Lonchura striata: one gene and its partner. The protein of the gene in region 1 interacts with the protein of each later gene in a pairwise test. Links are inferred from orthologs where the notes say so. Each region holds a gene or a part of one and is shown on either strand. Other genes may lie near its edges.

The links. The genes of interacting proteins can lie anywhere in the genome.
Region 2: the proteins of TRAF3IP1 (region 1) and SNAP91 interact in a two-hybrid assay, tested with the Homo sapiens proteins (2 studies listed by BioGRID and IntAct). The link is inferred for Lonchura striata from reciprocal best matches to the Homo sapiens genes TRAF3IP1 and SNAP91.

Annotation. Positions count from the first base shown.
Region 1 is NC_134610.1:36,519,229-36,526,226, reverse strand, and holds the start of TRAF3IP1 (TRAF3-interacting protein 1), read right to left. Parts: upstream 3,015-6,998; 5' UTR 2,929-3,014; coding exon 2,806-2,928; intron 2,279-2,805; coding exon 2,210-2,278; intron 953-2,209; coding exon 791-952; intron 1-790.
Region 2 is NC_134605.1:80,055,405-80,062,740, forward strand, and holds the start of SNAP91 (clathrin coat assembly protein AP180), read left to right. Parts: upstream 1-4,317; 5' UTR 4,318-4,435; intron 4,436-5,042; 5' UTR 5,043-5,072; coding exon 5,073-5,202; intron 5,203-7,336. UniProt on the Homo sapiens protein: Adaptins are components of the adapter complexes which link clathrin to receptors in coated vesicles. Clathrin-associated protein complexes are believed to interact with the cytoplasmic tails of membrane proteins, leading to their selection and concentration.

The sequences.
Region 1 (6,998 bases):
ATGTCACAATTATTATTTTATGAATGTAACAATTCAGTGTAAAAACATAATATTTCTGTGAAAGAATGCAATAATTCTGTATAAGAACAGCTCCTGCAGTTGTTTTTAACCAATTATCAAATTTTGCCATTATTGTATTTCCATAATCAAAAAAAAGCACAGTGGAGAAATTACTTGCATTCCACGATTAAGAGATTTGACTGAAAGGAGATAAAGCCAAAGGAACTGGTTATTTAAGTAATGCATCTGTACCCCAAAATGTTAAAGGTTCAGAAGTTTCATTTTGTGCTTCAAATCTAATAAGTGTTGTTAAAAGACAAACAAATAAAGTGAACAACAGTAAGCAATAAAATCCTTAATATTCAGAATGCATTTGTGTGGGAAGCTGGCTCAAGCTCTTGCTGAAGATCAAGAACTCTCTATCTGCTGTTATTGTTATTAAGGGGTGACAAAATGTTTCTACTGTGCAATTAGTGACAGCAGAGGGGTAATTAAAACACAGAATATTTGGGTTGGACAAGACCTCCAAGGTCATCAAGTCCAAGCTGTGACTGATGCCCACCTTGTCACCAGCCCTGAGTTCTGAGTGCCACCTCCAGGTGTTCCTTGGACACCTTCAGGGATGGGGACTACACACCACCCTGGGCAGCCCCTGCCAAGGCCTGAGCACCCTTTCCATGGGGAAATTCCTGTTGATGTCCACCCTGAGCCTGCCCTGGCCCAGCCTGCGGCTGCTCCCTCTCCTCCTGTCCCTGCTCCCTGTGTGCATAAAATCTGTATCATCTCCTACCTTATTTAAGCAACACCTCCCAATTGCCTGAAGGAATTCATTGGTTTTCTCAGGCTCGTGTCCAGCCACAACTCGTGCTGGTTTCACTGACAGTGGCTCTCCTGTCACCATCACAACAGCATCGATGGCCTTCTGAAGGAAGTTGATTTTGGAATCCTTATCCTGGTAAAACAGCAATTAAGAGAAAATTTTTATCTCCACAATAATCATGTTTGTTTTAGTTTTACAAATATCCTTTAATAACAACCTGCCCCAGCTGCCCTTCACTAGAGATGATGTCTTCCAGTGATAACATAAAATCAGAAGTAAAAATAAAAGATCAAATAAACAAAGTAAAGCCAAGTGAAATTTCACAGAAGTCCTCACAATTAAGAAATCATCATGATTTCAGTCCTCCTTACAGCTCTCTCCTGTTGATTACTCAGAAAAAATTATTCTCCAGATCTTCTACAACTCCAAGAGAGATCACAGTAAGGAAGCAGCTGAGTCTTCATCCTGACCAGTTTTGGGAAGAGGAACTTAAGGCTGAGACATTTTCCCCCACGCTCCAGGATTTTGATTTCCTCTGCCTGAGCTCTGGAAAACCCCAAGGACTTATCGGCTGTGAAAGAAATTTGTGAAACAAATTCTCAGAGACATAGCAGCACGTAGATGCAACAAAGACCTGCTCAGGAGCAGCTGGGAAATCTGCTTTTTGGGTCAACAAGGACACTATCAAGAAACCAAACAATTCAGTTATAAATTACTTAATTTTAGTTATCCTGACGGCAGTAGGAACAGTCACAGAAATAAACACACACATTAATCAGTGACTAAAACATGCAAGAGCTGGCTGGAGGGATGAGGAGTCAGAGCTCACACTTCAGTTGCTACATTAAACAAACACCATGGGATCAGCTGCCTAAGTGGCAACACACAAACACTGCTCTGTTTGCCAGGAATCAGCAACCAGAGCTCCCAAATCAGGATGGGAGCTGGGAACTCAGCATCAGCTCAGCCAAAAATCAGAGGAAAGCAGCAGACAGAGAGTAAAGTCAACCTTGGACTTAAGGAGTTTTCAGTAATAATATCAAACTCCTCTTTCAGTAATCAGCCAGTTTTACACAGCAATAAAGCTACTGCATATCCTAGATAGGTGAGTCCTGGGGATATTTATAAACAAAGATATATAGAGCAGTAAGTTAAGGGCCATGGATTCTCTTGAGAGACCACAAGACTCTTTAAAACCAGAAATTTGGACACAGAACTATAGGTGTTCACCCCATGGAAAGTATATTATACCCCACAGGCAGGATTTACAACTTCTTCACAAAAATAACAACAGCTCCTTGGTGCTGAACACAGAAAAGACCAAAAGAACCTTCTGGCGAGTTGCAAAAAACACTGAAAACTAAATAAATAAGGAAGTCCCATGCCCACCTTGACATTATCAGACTTCAACTCGAAATCTGTGTAAAGTCCTTTCAGAAAACCTGTCACTCTGATCACCTAAAAAACAGAATGGGGTAAGTCAAGAACATTTAAAGCCTCTGCTCAATAAATCTTGTGTGGCAGCAGGAAATGTATTCTTCGTGGGAAGGGTGGTGAGGCACTGGAGTGCAGTCCCCATCCCTGGAGGTACCCAAGGAAGGCCTGGACATGGCACTCAGTGCTCCGGGCTGGTGACAAGGGGGGCATCGGGCACAGGCTGGGCTCAGAGATCTCGGGTGGCTTTTCCAACCTCAAGGATTCTGGGATTCTGTGATATTTCACTACCCCAGGCTGCTCCAAGCCCCACTGTCCAACCTGGGCCACTTCCAGGGGCAGCCACAGCTTCTCCGGGCACCCTGTGCCAGGGCCTGCCCACCCTCACAGGGCAGAATTCCTTCCCAAAACCCCACCTAACCCTGCCTCTGCAGACGTGACCCCCTTTCCGACCGCCACACGCGCCTTTCCACCCCAAACTCACGCAGTGCCCAGAGCCCCGCGATTCACACACCGCTGAGGGCACGCCCCACAGGCTTCCACACACCCACCTCGCAGATCAGGTCGTGCAGGTAGCGGAAGGGCGGCTTGCTCAGCAGCGCGTCGGTGAGCGGCGGCTTGCGGATCACCTGCCCCAGGGTCTCCCGCGTTTGCCGCGACACCGCCTCGTTCATCGCGGCGGGGCCGGGCCGGGCCGCGCCGGGGCTCGAACCGGCACCGCGGCGGGGCTCGAACCGGCACCGCGGCGGGGCTCGAACCGGCACCGCGGCGGGGCGCGCCCGCCCCCGGCCCGCCGCTCCCGGCGTGCCCCGCGCGAGCCGCCGGTCGCTAAGGGGCGCCGCGGCCATAGCAACCGGCCCGGCCCGCTCCGCCCTCAGCGAGGAAAACCCGGGAAACAGCCCCGAGACACCCGGAAACAGCCTTAAAAAACATAGCAACAGTCCCCAAAACCCTGGAAACCACCCTAAAATCCCTGGAAACAGCACCCAAATCCACGGAAACAGCCCCAAACCCCCCACAAACAGCCCCCAAATCCCCGGAAACAGCCCCAGAAACAGCCCCCAAGCCTCCCAAAAATAGCTCCCAAAGCCCCCATAAACAGCCCCAAAATCCCCGGAAACAGCCCCAAAATCCCCAAATATAGCTCCCAAAGCCCCCATAAACAGCCCCAAAATCCCCGGAAACAGCCCCAAAATCCCCGGAAACAGCCCCAAAATCCCCAAAAGTAGCCCCCAAAGGCCCCCATAAACAGTGCCCAAAACCCCCGGAAACAGCCCCCATAAACAAACTCCAAATCCCCAGAAACAGCCCTAAAACCCCAATAAACGGCCCAAAATCCCCAGAAACAGCCCACAACCCCCCCCAAAACAGCCTCCAAAATCCCCATAAACAGCCCCCAAATCCCCGGAAAACAGCCCCAGAAACAGCCACAAACCCCTCCAAAATAGCTCCCAAAACCCCCATGAACAGCCCCAAAATCCCCAGAAACAGCACCCAAAACCCCCATTAACAGCCTCAAAATCCCTGGAAACAGCCCCCAAAACTGCAGAAACAGCACCCAAAATCCCCATTAACAGCCCCCAAAAACGCAGAAACAGCCCCTAACCATTGGAAGCAGCCAAAAAACCTCTGGAAACAGCCCCAAAACCCCCGAAAAGAGCACCAAACCCCCTGGAAACAGCCCCCCAAAACCCCTGGAAACAGCCCCAAATCCCCCATAAACAGCCTCAAAACCATGCCCCCCTACCCCTCAGAGCAAGAGGCAGTGAACAACGTGTTAGGGAGACATGCTGTGTGTCAGCAGCAGGAATTGGAGCAGGAAAAGTTTTTTTGTTGTTGTTTTTTGTCTTGTTTTGTTTTGGGGTTTTTTTTCTGTTTGTTTGTTTTTGCTTCATCACTTAAGAGGTGACTCTGTGGGACCCAACACAAGAGAAACAGGGACTGCAAATCCAGGAGAGCAGGGAGATGCTGCAAGGCTGGAGCCAGGCTGGGAGAGCTGGGGGTGCTCACCTGGAGAGGAGAAGGATCCAGGGAGAGCTCAGAGCCTCTGCCAGGGCCTGAAGGGGCTCCAGGAGAGCTGGAGAGGAGCTGGGGACAAGGCATGGAGGGACAGGACACAGGGAATGGCTTCCCACTGCCAGAGGGCAGGGATGGATGGGATATTGGGCAGGAATTGTTTCCTGGGAGGTGCTGGCACTGTTTTTAGAGCAGCTGTGGCTGCTCCTGGATCCCTGGGAGTGTCCAAGGCCAGGCTGGACAGGACTGGGAGCAGCCTGGGATAGTCGATGGTGTCCCTGCCATGGCAAGAGGGTGGCACTTGATCACCCACTCCATTCCAACCCACAGCCTTTTGTAAAGAAAGAGTCAGATTTGGGAATTAATGGAGGTATTACAAAGCAAATCCATCTGGTCTTAGTGCAGGCAAGGAAATTTTTCCAGCAAAAAGGCAGTAGACACTTCTATACCAAGAGGGTAATTTCACCTGGGCTCCTGGCAGGTGCTCAAGGGGGGAAGTGCATTTTACCTTCCCCCCTAACCCTGAGGTTCCCAGAAAGGCTCTGACTCCAGGATCTGGTGATCCTGGGAAGAACAGGAGGTGTTGACAGCTTCCACATCCCAGGGCATTGGAAGAAGTCTCAGAGGAAGCAAGAAGCTGCTCTGTGAAAGAGGGAATGTTTATTTTGGGATTGTGTAGTTTATCTGGGCTTTTTCACTGACTATCTAGGAAGCATCTGAGATGCCTGAAGAGGAATCTCAGGGGGGAATTTACATTTGGCCTCATTAGCTCATTTTCCCACACAGGCACCCCAAGGAAGCACAGGTCCATTTAACTGGAAACCAAAACCCACGATCAGGGCTTCACCACCCTCACAGGGAAGGATTTCTTCCCAATGGCCCTAGTAAACCTCTTGGAAATGCCATGAACTCTGCACCTGTCAGGAAGGAAAGGATGCTGAGAAAAATGTAGCAATCTTTCAGCTCAACTCTGTACCTGGAAACCCCCAGTCTCAAGGTCCAGAATCCCAGAAAGGTCTGAGCAAGCTGGGATGAGGTAGATGACCAAAACAAAACAAACAAACAAACAAACAAAACCACCCCCCCAAAAAAAAAAAACAAAACACCAACACCCTAAATATAATTTTTTTCCCAGAAATTGGCTCAGTAGTCTCTAGAAGCCAATTGCTGATTTCAGTCAAAACCTGTTGCTCAAAATAACCACTCCAAACAACTCATTAAAACTGGGATAAAAAAAATTCCAAGGCTTTTCATAAGTCTAGGGCATCAGAGTGGCATTGTGTCCTGATGGAGGAACATTCCCTGCCAACCTCAGTGCTTTCCCCACAGGGATTGGAAACATAGGACGAAAACAAAGCTGCTCCTGCACTCAGAGCCCTGAGCCAGGACCAAACCAGGAGCCTCAGGAAAAGACAACAGCCACAAGGAAAGGGGAAACCTCCCCCAGAGCTGGGAATGTTGGTTCAGGAACGTTGGAAGATGAATGCTGATTAATACTCATGTCAGAAACCAGTTTGTGCCATTCTCAACCAGTGAGACATCCACAGATAACCCAACTAGGCAGATAAAAATGACATTTAATTTTGTGAAGAACACTTGAAAAATAAAGATGAAAGCTCTTCAAGGCTTTGCAAATAACCATCAGAACCCACAGAGCCAAAGACTCCATTTTTAAAAGGTGCTTTCTCTCCCCAGCCCTGTTTTCCATTAACTCCCAATGTGGAGTGGCCCACAAGAGTTTCAAAGAAGAAAAAAAAAATTCATTTTGAGCCAACATTAGAAATAATCCAAGATTCGTTCAGTGCAGGTGCTGCTACATTACACTTGAACAAAGGCACAAAATTCCCTCTTCTAATTTTCATTTTGATTTCTCTAAACTTGGTGTTCTCAGGGAGAGACCAGAGTTATTCAAGAGAGGAAGGCTGAGCTCAGTCCAGCTCTCCAGCAGGAACCGGAGGAACTGAAGTGACAGCAAATAAATCCAATGGACTGTAACCATGTGGGAACACAAACCTTTGGAATCGGCACCTCTGACCCCTGCTGTAAACCCAGGCTCCCAAGAACACCTGATATGGAAAGAAGGTGACACAAATTAAGATGGGAAAACATCCACTGCCCTCCCCTCAGGCAGAAAATGTATCCATGAAACTGGGATTTCAGGATCCAAGTGAGTGAGGACGTTAACAGCCCCTTCTGCAGAGTATCAGCCCCAAAAAGCACAGGAGTACCTGCTGAATTCTAAAGATATGCAGAGAAATAAAAAATAATATAATTGTGTGCTTTATGGTGCTTTTCACTTCTTTTTTTTTTTTTTTAGCTGCTAGCAAAGTGTCAGATTTTATCTTTATGCTGTCTCAAATGTAGTAGTGTTAACCTATAAAAGGTACATGAAAAATCTTACATTAGCCAAAATTTGGGAAATCTGCTCAACTGGCAGCTCCTACTACATACAGAAAATAGGTCAAATACTTACTGCAACCCCCAAAAGCAAACTTGTGTTTTGTCCTGTCATAATCACAGATTTAATTCAGGATAATCAGGCTCACTTTGGAGTTAATACTTCAGAGCCTTTGACCTGGAGCCCAGCTCACTGAGCTGCTCAAAATCAGCTCAGGACACCAAGAGAAACAGGTTCTCCAATATAAGAGAGTATCAGAACAGCTGGAAAGATGAGAAATGAGGGAAATTCCTCTGAAGAGGAGCCCTGAAAATAAATGCCTTTTTCCTG
Region 2 (7,336 bases), on another chromosome or scaffold:
GTCTGAATCTGTTGTGTGGAAGTGCAATACGCTTCATACTTCCAGACTTTTGCTTTGGAAGCTCTATCAGGATTACAAAATTTGTGACCAAAATCAATACTAAATAGTAAGGAATTTCACAGGTACTGACTTTCACAAATACAGGACTTTTGCTCCATTTCTGATACATATGTCCATCTGTCCCCTTTCTAGTCTATTAACCTCAGTGTTATTGCCAGACACAACCCAGAAAACTACTCCAGCAGCAAAAGCTATCCTTGTAATGTGGATGATGGGGTCCATTAATGCATCAGTCAACAGAGGTCTCTAAAATAATACTGATTTTAAGGTGGTCCTTGTGGGAACCAGCATGCTGGGTAAGGAACACATCTTTATCATCTGTACAGAACAGGCCAATTACCATCTTTCTGTAACCAGCTCTAATATGCAGGCACTCCATATTCTGCAGAACATGACCTCACTCTGGCATGGCTTAACCAGCAGTAAAAGAGCTCATCAGCCATGCTTTGTGTAACTTTTCTATTCATTCTCTCTCTTAACTAAATTAACTTTTTAATATTCAAAGATCTTCAAAGACACAAAAAAGGCCTTTCCTATGGGATGTAGAGTATATACTCATGCCACCAAGCCTGTACCCTTACCACTGTGTATGGCAGTTCTCTTAGATTCAGTAGCTCAAGTAGTTCTCCAAAATGAGATGAATCTTCTGCCTGGGATGTACAAACACATTCAAGCTACATCCTTCTCAGACCATCATTCAGACTGGAAAATTGACAAACTGCTTTCTCATTGCTGCTTTATATCACAGCAACCAAAGGAACTACTGAAACAAATGCCATTAAGGATGGTGAGTACAGAGGCTGAATAAACACTTGGGGACAGAACCTTTACAAGACCAAGCAATGAGGTTATATCTGACAGAAGAAGCCCAGAAACTCCTGAGTATTGCATTATTTGAGCACCTACTGTTGTGTTGTAACTTCTGTTGCATTGTAGAGAAAGCCTAATGCAAACTACCTGGCTCTATCAACCTGATACAAAGTCAGGAGGATGCTTCTCATTTGAAAAGTCTTTTTTCCCCCTTCCTAGAGCTAAACAGATCTGTTTAGGACTGCTGCTATCACTATGGTTACAGCCAGCCTCTCCAGGAGCTCTGTTTGTACCACTGGCCCTAAGAGTAAGAGGTAGAAGCAGAACAACAGCACTGGGCCTGATGCAAGCTCAGGCACAGACAAGCTGGGTCTAAATCTCTGCCTGGCCTGTGAAGGCAGGAGGAAACGGCACCAAAGCTGGCTGGAGAACTGGAAGACTTGGCAGGAGAAACTGGGGAAAAAATGGAAAAAAAGCAGAATTATGGTGAGAAACAACCAGATTTTCATTGCACCTTAGTGCACAAAAATAGTCTACATGCCTTGTATCACCGAAGAGATGGGCGTCTCTGGGGCAGAATTCAGGTGTGAGGTGTGATGAATCAGCCCTTACACATGCCTCCTTCCCTCCACGTGTGCTTGAATGTGAGGTTAATACGGACCAACTCTATTTTTCTCACTTCAAATTAAGTTAAGAATTATCTTTCTGCTTCAAAATGGCTATTCAGTTTGTCATTGATATATCTCCTCTTCTTTAAGGCTCTCATTATTAAGTTGAAAGCACATTTACAAAGAGTCAAGAAAGACATCACTGATTCTGTGATATTTTTAACAGCAAGAACTCTTTTCAGCTGCTCATATGTCCCTCATCCAGACCTCCACCAGCCAAGCTGTGAACCTGGGTTTCAGAGAGCCAGCACACCAGCACACCAGGCAGCTTCTTGGGACTTCATCTTGGGGCTGTGAAATGTCAACCCCAACTCCCCATCTATTTAGTCATAGTCAGCTCTCTCTGGTGTATCCTTATTCAAGATGGCTCCTATTTCCTGTGCGGTTTTCAATACAAACACGAACTTCTGTTTTGTGGGGTTGGCTTATTTTTGGGGGACTGGTGTTTGGTTTTAAATCCAAAAGCAATACAGATTCAGTAGATCACATCCCTTTACTCTGAATTTAAAGAGTACTAATATCTTCTTGTCTTACCTTCTTAAAGCACCTTAGGTTTTCATTAAGAAACTGCATAAATTTTAAGGCAATATAGATTATCTGACTTATCTTCTGCTTCAATATATTGGCGATATGAAGATATAAAATTAGCTGAGTAATAACAATCACAATTTTTGGTGACACAGATGAGAATCTCAGTGACAGTATCTGTTGATAACAACACAGACTAGTTAGAAAGTATCCAGACCTTCACAATGAAGACGTACACTAGATGTTAATAAAAGCTGCATCACTAATTAAATACTTAGACTAGCATAAAACTGAAAACTATCATGCTTGCAGGAAATAAAACCATCCTAAATTTCTGCTCTATGGAGTCTACAAGGTCCAAAACAATTTGTGTTTTTCTTCTGTAATATATCAGTTTAAAAGGAAGTTTCTCTTTTAAAGTCAAGCCATTCTAAACTCCTGAAAGTATTACCAAGAAAAGTTCAGAGTCACTCAACGCCAGTAATGAAACATGAAGTATCATTAGATCCCAACTCTTTCTTTCCTCTGAAATCAATCGGGAGTACAACCCCAATAACCAATTGTGAAGTACAGGGAAAAATTGTTTGTGTGCTTCTGCTAAGACATGCTTTTAGCTGCCACAAATCATATCATTAATGACAAATTCCTAGGCATTGAAGTTAACATTTCTGTGGTAACAGAAACAATTTCTAAGTATTACTAAAATTTGTCCATACTTGAACGGTGGACTACAGTAATGCTAAAGAGCACAGTATTATCTTTCTGTGCAACTCCATGGTTTATTTATTTGCTACTTAATATGGAAGAGAAGTGAGAAGTACGGACACATTCTCACTATTGGAATATGAGAATCTCTCTTATGGAAATATTCAAAGTTGGCAGATTCCTAATGCTGATTTATAACAGTGATATACACTTTACATCTTTTTTTGAAATTGAATTCCTCTCCGTAGTCAAACTGTATTTGAGAAAACCTTTGAATATTGAAATCCAAAAAATCTCTATCTGCTCTGCAAAAAAGAAGGAGATTTAACCAATATCAAAAATGTGCAAATCTGAACACCTGGTTTCAGTGGTCCAAGGCACCATTTTACAGCTATTTTGTAAGAATTTTCCCACAGAAAAGCTAACTTGAATTTTTGACCATTATTTTAACAGCATTCTCAAGCTTTCAGGCTACCTAGGATTTTAAAACGTCGGCGTTGTTGGGTAAAAAAAAAAAAAAAAAAAAAAAGAAAAGAAAAAAGAAAAAAAAGAAAGAATGAAGTAGTAAAAAACCTGCTGTTTCATACTGTCGCAGACCACAATCCTTTGTCAGTGTTCTGCTCCTGGTATAACAAATGAAAATGGTGCTGTGTGTCTTTGTGTGCAACACAACCCAATTATCACTTGGTGTGCACAACTCTTCAATACTGACTGTACATAGTGTTTTCTGCAGCTAATTAATAACATGCACTGACATCGTATTCTGAAATTTGTTCTACCGGCAGCTCAAAGTAATTGCTACCAGTGCCATTTCGTTTAGACCCCACCCACTTAAATCACTTTACTCCAAAACTAAGTTCAGCCAATTTATGGTAATATATGTACGCCACATTTCCCAATACTCCACGGATCACTCCGGTGTGCTTCAATTACACAATAAAATTGTAGCACTATATCCTCCCGAGTGTGGTTGGGTTGTAACCAAGACCCGTAGGGTACCTTAGGTAACAGAGAGAAAACCCATTCTGGGGACATATTTCAGATGTTTTTGATAACAATAACATCATAACAACATTCTGGAGAAATCTAGTCTATGTGCGGTTTTGGGATCCCTCAAGGCACTATTTTAAGCTTTTTCACGACAGGACCATGATGCAGACCGGGGAAGCATCAGTGGCTTCGGCTCCCCCGAGTCGCGGATCCCCAGTGGGACAGCCCCCGCGTGGGAGCATCTCCGGCCGTGCCCGCCGCCAGCTCCGGGAAGCGGGATGCGGGTGGGGAACGGGGTCACCTGACTGCGCCGGGGCACCGATCTGCGGCGGCAGCGCCGCTCGGCTCCGCTCCGTCCCGCCCTCTGCACCGGGCTAGGGGGCGGCGCTGCTGCGGCAGTAGCGCGGGGATTAGGCTGCGGGAGGATTAAGCCGCCGGCTGGAAATAGCAGCGTCGGCTCCCGGGCGTGGACGCCCAGCGCATCCCCGGCGGCGGCGGCGGGAGGGTGCAGCCCGCCCGGCACCTGGGGCTACCGGGGCCGGGGGGACGGGGGGGGCTGCTGCGCCGCGGAGCGCCTCGCCAGCGGGCCGGGCCGGGCAGCGGTCGCGGCGGGGGCCGGCAGTGCCCTCCCCGGAGCGGCGGCAGGAGGACGGGAGGGAAGGACGCGCTGACAGGTCGGCCGCTGGCGCTCGGTCCATCCCGCTGTCCCCCCGCGCCGGGATGCTGCATGGCGCTGGGCGCCGCCGCATCCAGCGGCGCCCCGCTTTCCGGGGCGGGGGGGGATCCCTGTCGGACCGGGGGTGGCGGTGGGGAGGCACCGGGAGGGCAGAACATGGCGCAACGGTGCCATAATCTCCCACCCGGGAGGCGGCGGCGCGGGCGGTGCGGCGGGGCCGGGGCGCGGCGGAGGCTCCGCCGCGGGTCGGGCGCTGCCGAGGCAGGTGCGGGAGGGATGCCTGCCCCCCATCCCGGGGGCTCGCACCGTATTTGTGTGCAGCCTCCTTCAGCTGCCGTCATTATTTCCCCTTCATCTGTTCCTCGCAACGCCTAAAATACCCTTCTTCCTGCCCCGGGCGGCTTCTAGCGAGGCAGAGGCTTACACAACGGGGCGGGGGGGCTGCGCCTCGGGAGGGGCCGGGCTGCCCGGGGGACCATTGTGCGTGCGGCGGGGCTGTGCGAGTGCCCGGCTGCGTGCGCCCCTGCCTGTGCGCCCCTGCCGTGCCTCCCCCCGGCCACAGACCCGGCATCTCCCCCTCCCCTCCGTGTCTTTCGCCCCTGCAGAGCAGGCAGCAGCCAGCACGCCGTTCGAAGATGTCGGGTCAGACGCTGACAGATCGCATCGCAGCTGCTCAGTACAGCGTTACGGGATCGGCCGTAGCCAGAGCCGTCTGCAAAGCCACCACGCATGAAGTGATGGGGCCCAAGAAAAAGCACCTGGATTGTGAGCATCCCTTTTTGTTTCCCCAGCGAAGGCCCGGGGCTGAGGAGCCTGCCCGCAGGGCACTTCAGTGGGCCTTTGAGCCGGCTGGCTGTCACGCTTGCTCTAATCCAGCTTGCAAAGCATGAGGGTGATGGGAAATCTCCAGGAGAGGATGAGTTATTATTGCATTTCTTCTCTTATTGCATAATACTGCTCTTTCGGCCATTTTTTTTCCTCATGACCTCTTGCCTTTTATTCAGGAAGACAGTGTAAAGAACGCCTTATGGAGCAGGGGCTCGGGAAGAAGGGAGAGAATCAGACATGGGGCAAAATGGACACATGCTTGTCATTGCCTACTTTGGTCAGGATTAAGCTAGGATGAGATATACATAAATGATATTCCTAGAGCTGGCCAAGCACCGGCATGAGTAGGGCCATCTCCACAGCACTGCATCTCCACTTCTGAAGAGGTGTGGGTGATGGCGTGCTTAAATGGCAAGGCACTGGGTTAACGCTGTGCTGTAGATTGGGACAACCTTTGGAGAGTTTAAGGGCTGTTGCTGAGGTCCCAAATATCGGACAGCAACTTTGTGAGCTGTCCAGTAGTTTGTGTCAATGTTTTATTGAAGGTGGCTGTTGGCTTTATCTCAGATTTTGGATGTATTCTGGACTGACATTAGCTAGTTAAGGCATGAAACAAAGTTGAGGCAAAACATTTATTGAAAAACAATAAGCTGGTCATGTTTCATCCTAACAATTTCATTACCGCTGTCAGCCCCTGCTTGGAGACACCAAGTAGTAGAGTGGTGAAAAAATTTGGTTGTGTGATGTTAATTGGACTTGTTTACCAGTAGTATCCCTGTCCAGCACTGAACTTGGCAGATCAACAGCAGCTGTTAGTATCTAAAACTAAATGGGTTTCCCGTGGTTTTTTTGGACATGGTAAGAAGTACATTCAAGTAAAGATCAGCAGGTTTTATACCAGGCAGTCTCTTGGCTGCTGGCCATTACTAAGTAATGCTGGTGCAGGTGTTCTGATGATGCAGTATTTGCTAAAAGCAGGTAGCATTACTTCTGGAAAATAATTCCAGATTTCACTTCTAATGACTTTGTAGCTTACCCTCCAAGTGACAAAGAGTAGGCTGGTCTTTCAGTATATGTAGATGCTCTTGCATATGTGTCCAAGAAATGCTGATGTAAGCAGCATTGATTGAAGACTCACTGGAGTCTAAACTGTTATTTAAGTAGATATTTGGTCTTGATATCAGGTATTCTGTCATGTTTTCTTGTATATTTAAAAATTAATTTTGGTTATTGATGTCTCTTCTATCTTGTTGTTAGGTAGTCATCAACACTTCTAAATTTTTTAAACGCTTTTTAGGCTGTGTCTGGATTGTCCTATACAGACCACATCTGTTTCTAGAAGTTTTAGCTTAGAAGTTCAAACATAGCTCATGTATTTGAAAGCATACTGTGTCTATGTGTCTCTGTGTTTCTGTGTGTGTATACATATATAAACAAAAGTACTGTCTGGAATAGGCAGGATTAAAGTGAGGTAGAAGTAATCTACCAGTGTTATAGTAAGGAGTGTAAAGGATTTGTGTTTGGATATTGGTGCTGATATTACTATTCAAGAAAGTGGGTTTTCTGGAGACAGAAGCCAGTAGAATTCCACAGAATTTCTTACCTACCTGCATGTCACATAAAAGAGGAAAAGAAGTTATAATTTCCTGGGAAGACATATGCCTGGGTTTTGGTTTTTTGTTTTTTGTTTTTTTTTTTTTTTTCTATTTTACAAGCTGTAAATAATAGTTCAGTTTCATTGGCTGGATGCATTTCAAGTCAGATAAGTAGCATTTGAAGATGTGAAGAATGAAAGGTAAAACTTTTCCAGTGCTTTAGATTAAGTTTTATGTCAAGGTATGAAGGATTTAGATTATTAAAAATTCTTCAGAGATTGATGGTTGGAGCAATCCCTTATGAAGAGCTGTAATTCTGGTATTGACATTGGGGTTCTGTGTCCTTAGGGAACTCCATAATTTTACTTAGTGTCTTACTGGCCAGGTGTCAAGTCACACAACCTCTCTTCCACTGCCCTACTTAGCAACTGGGCTTTGTAAATTAAATTGAAAGATCAACTATTTAACATGGGTTA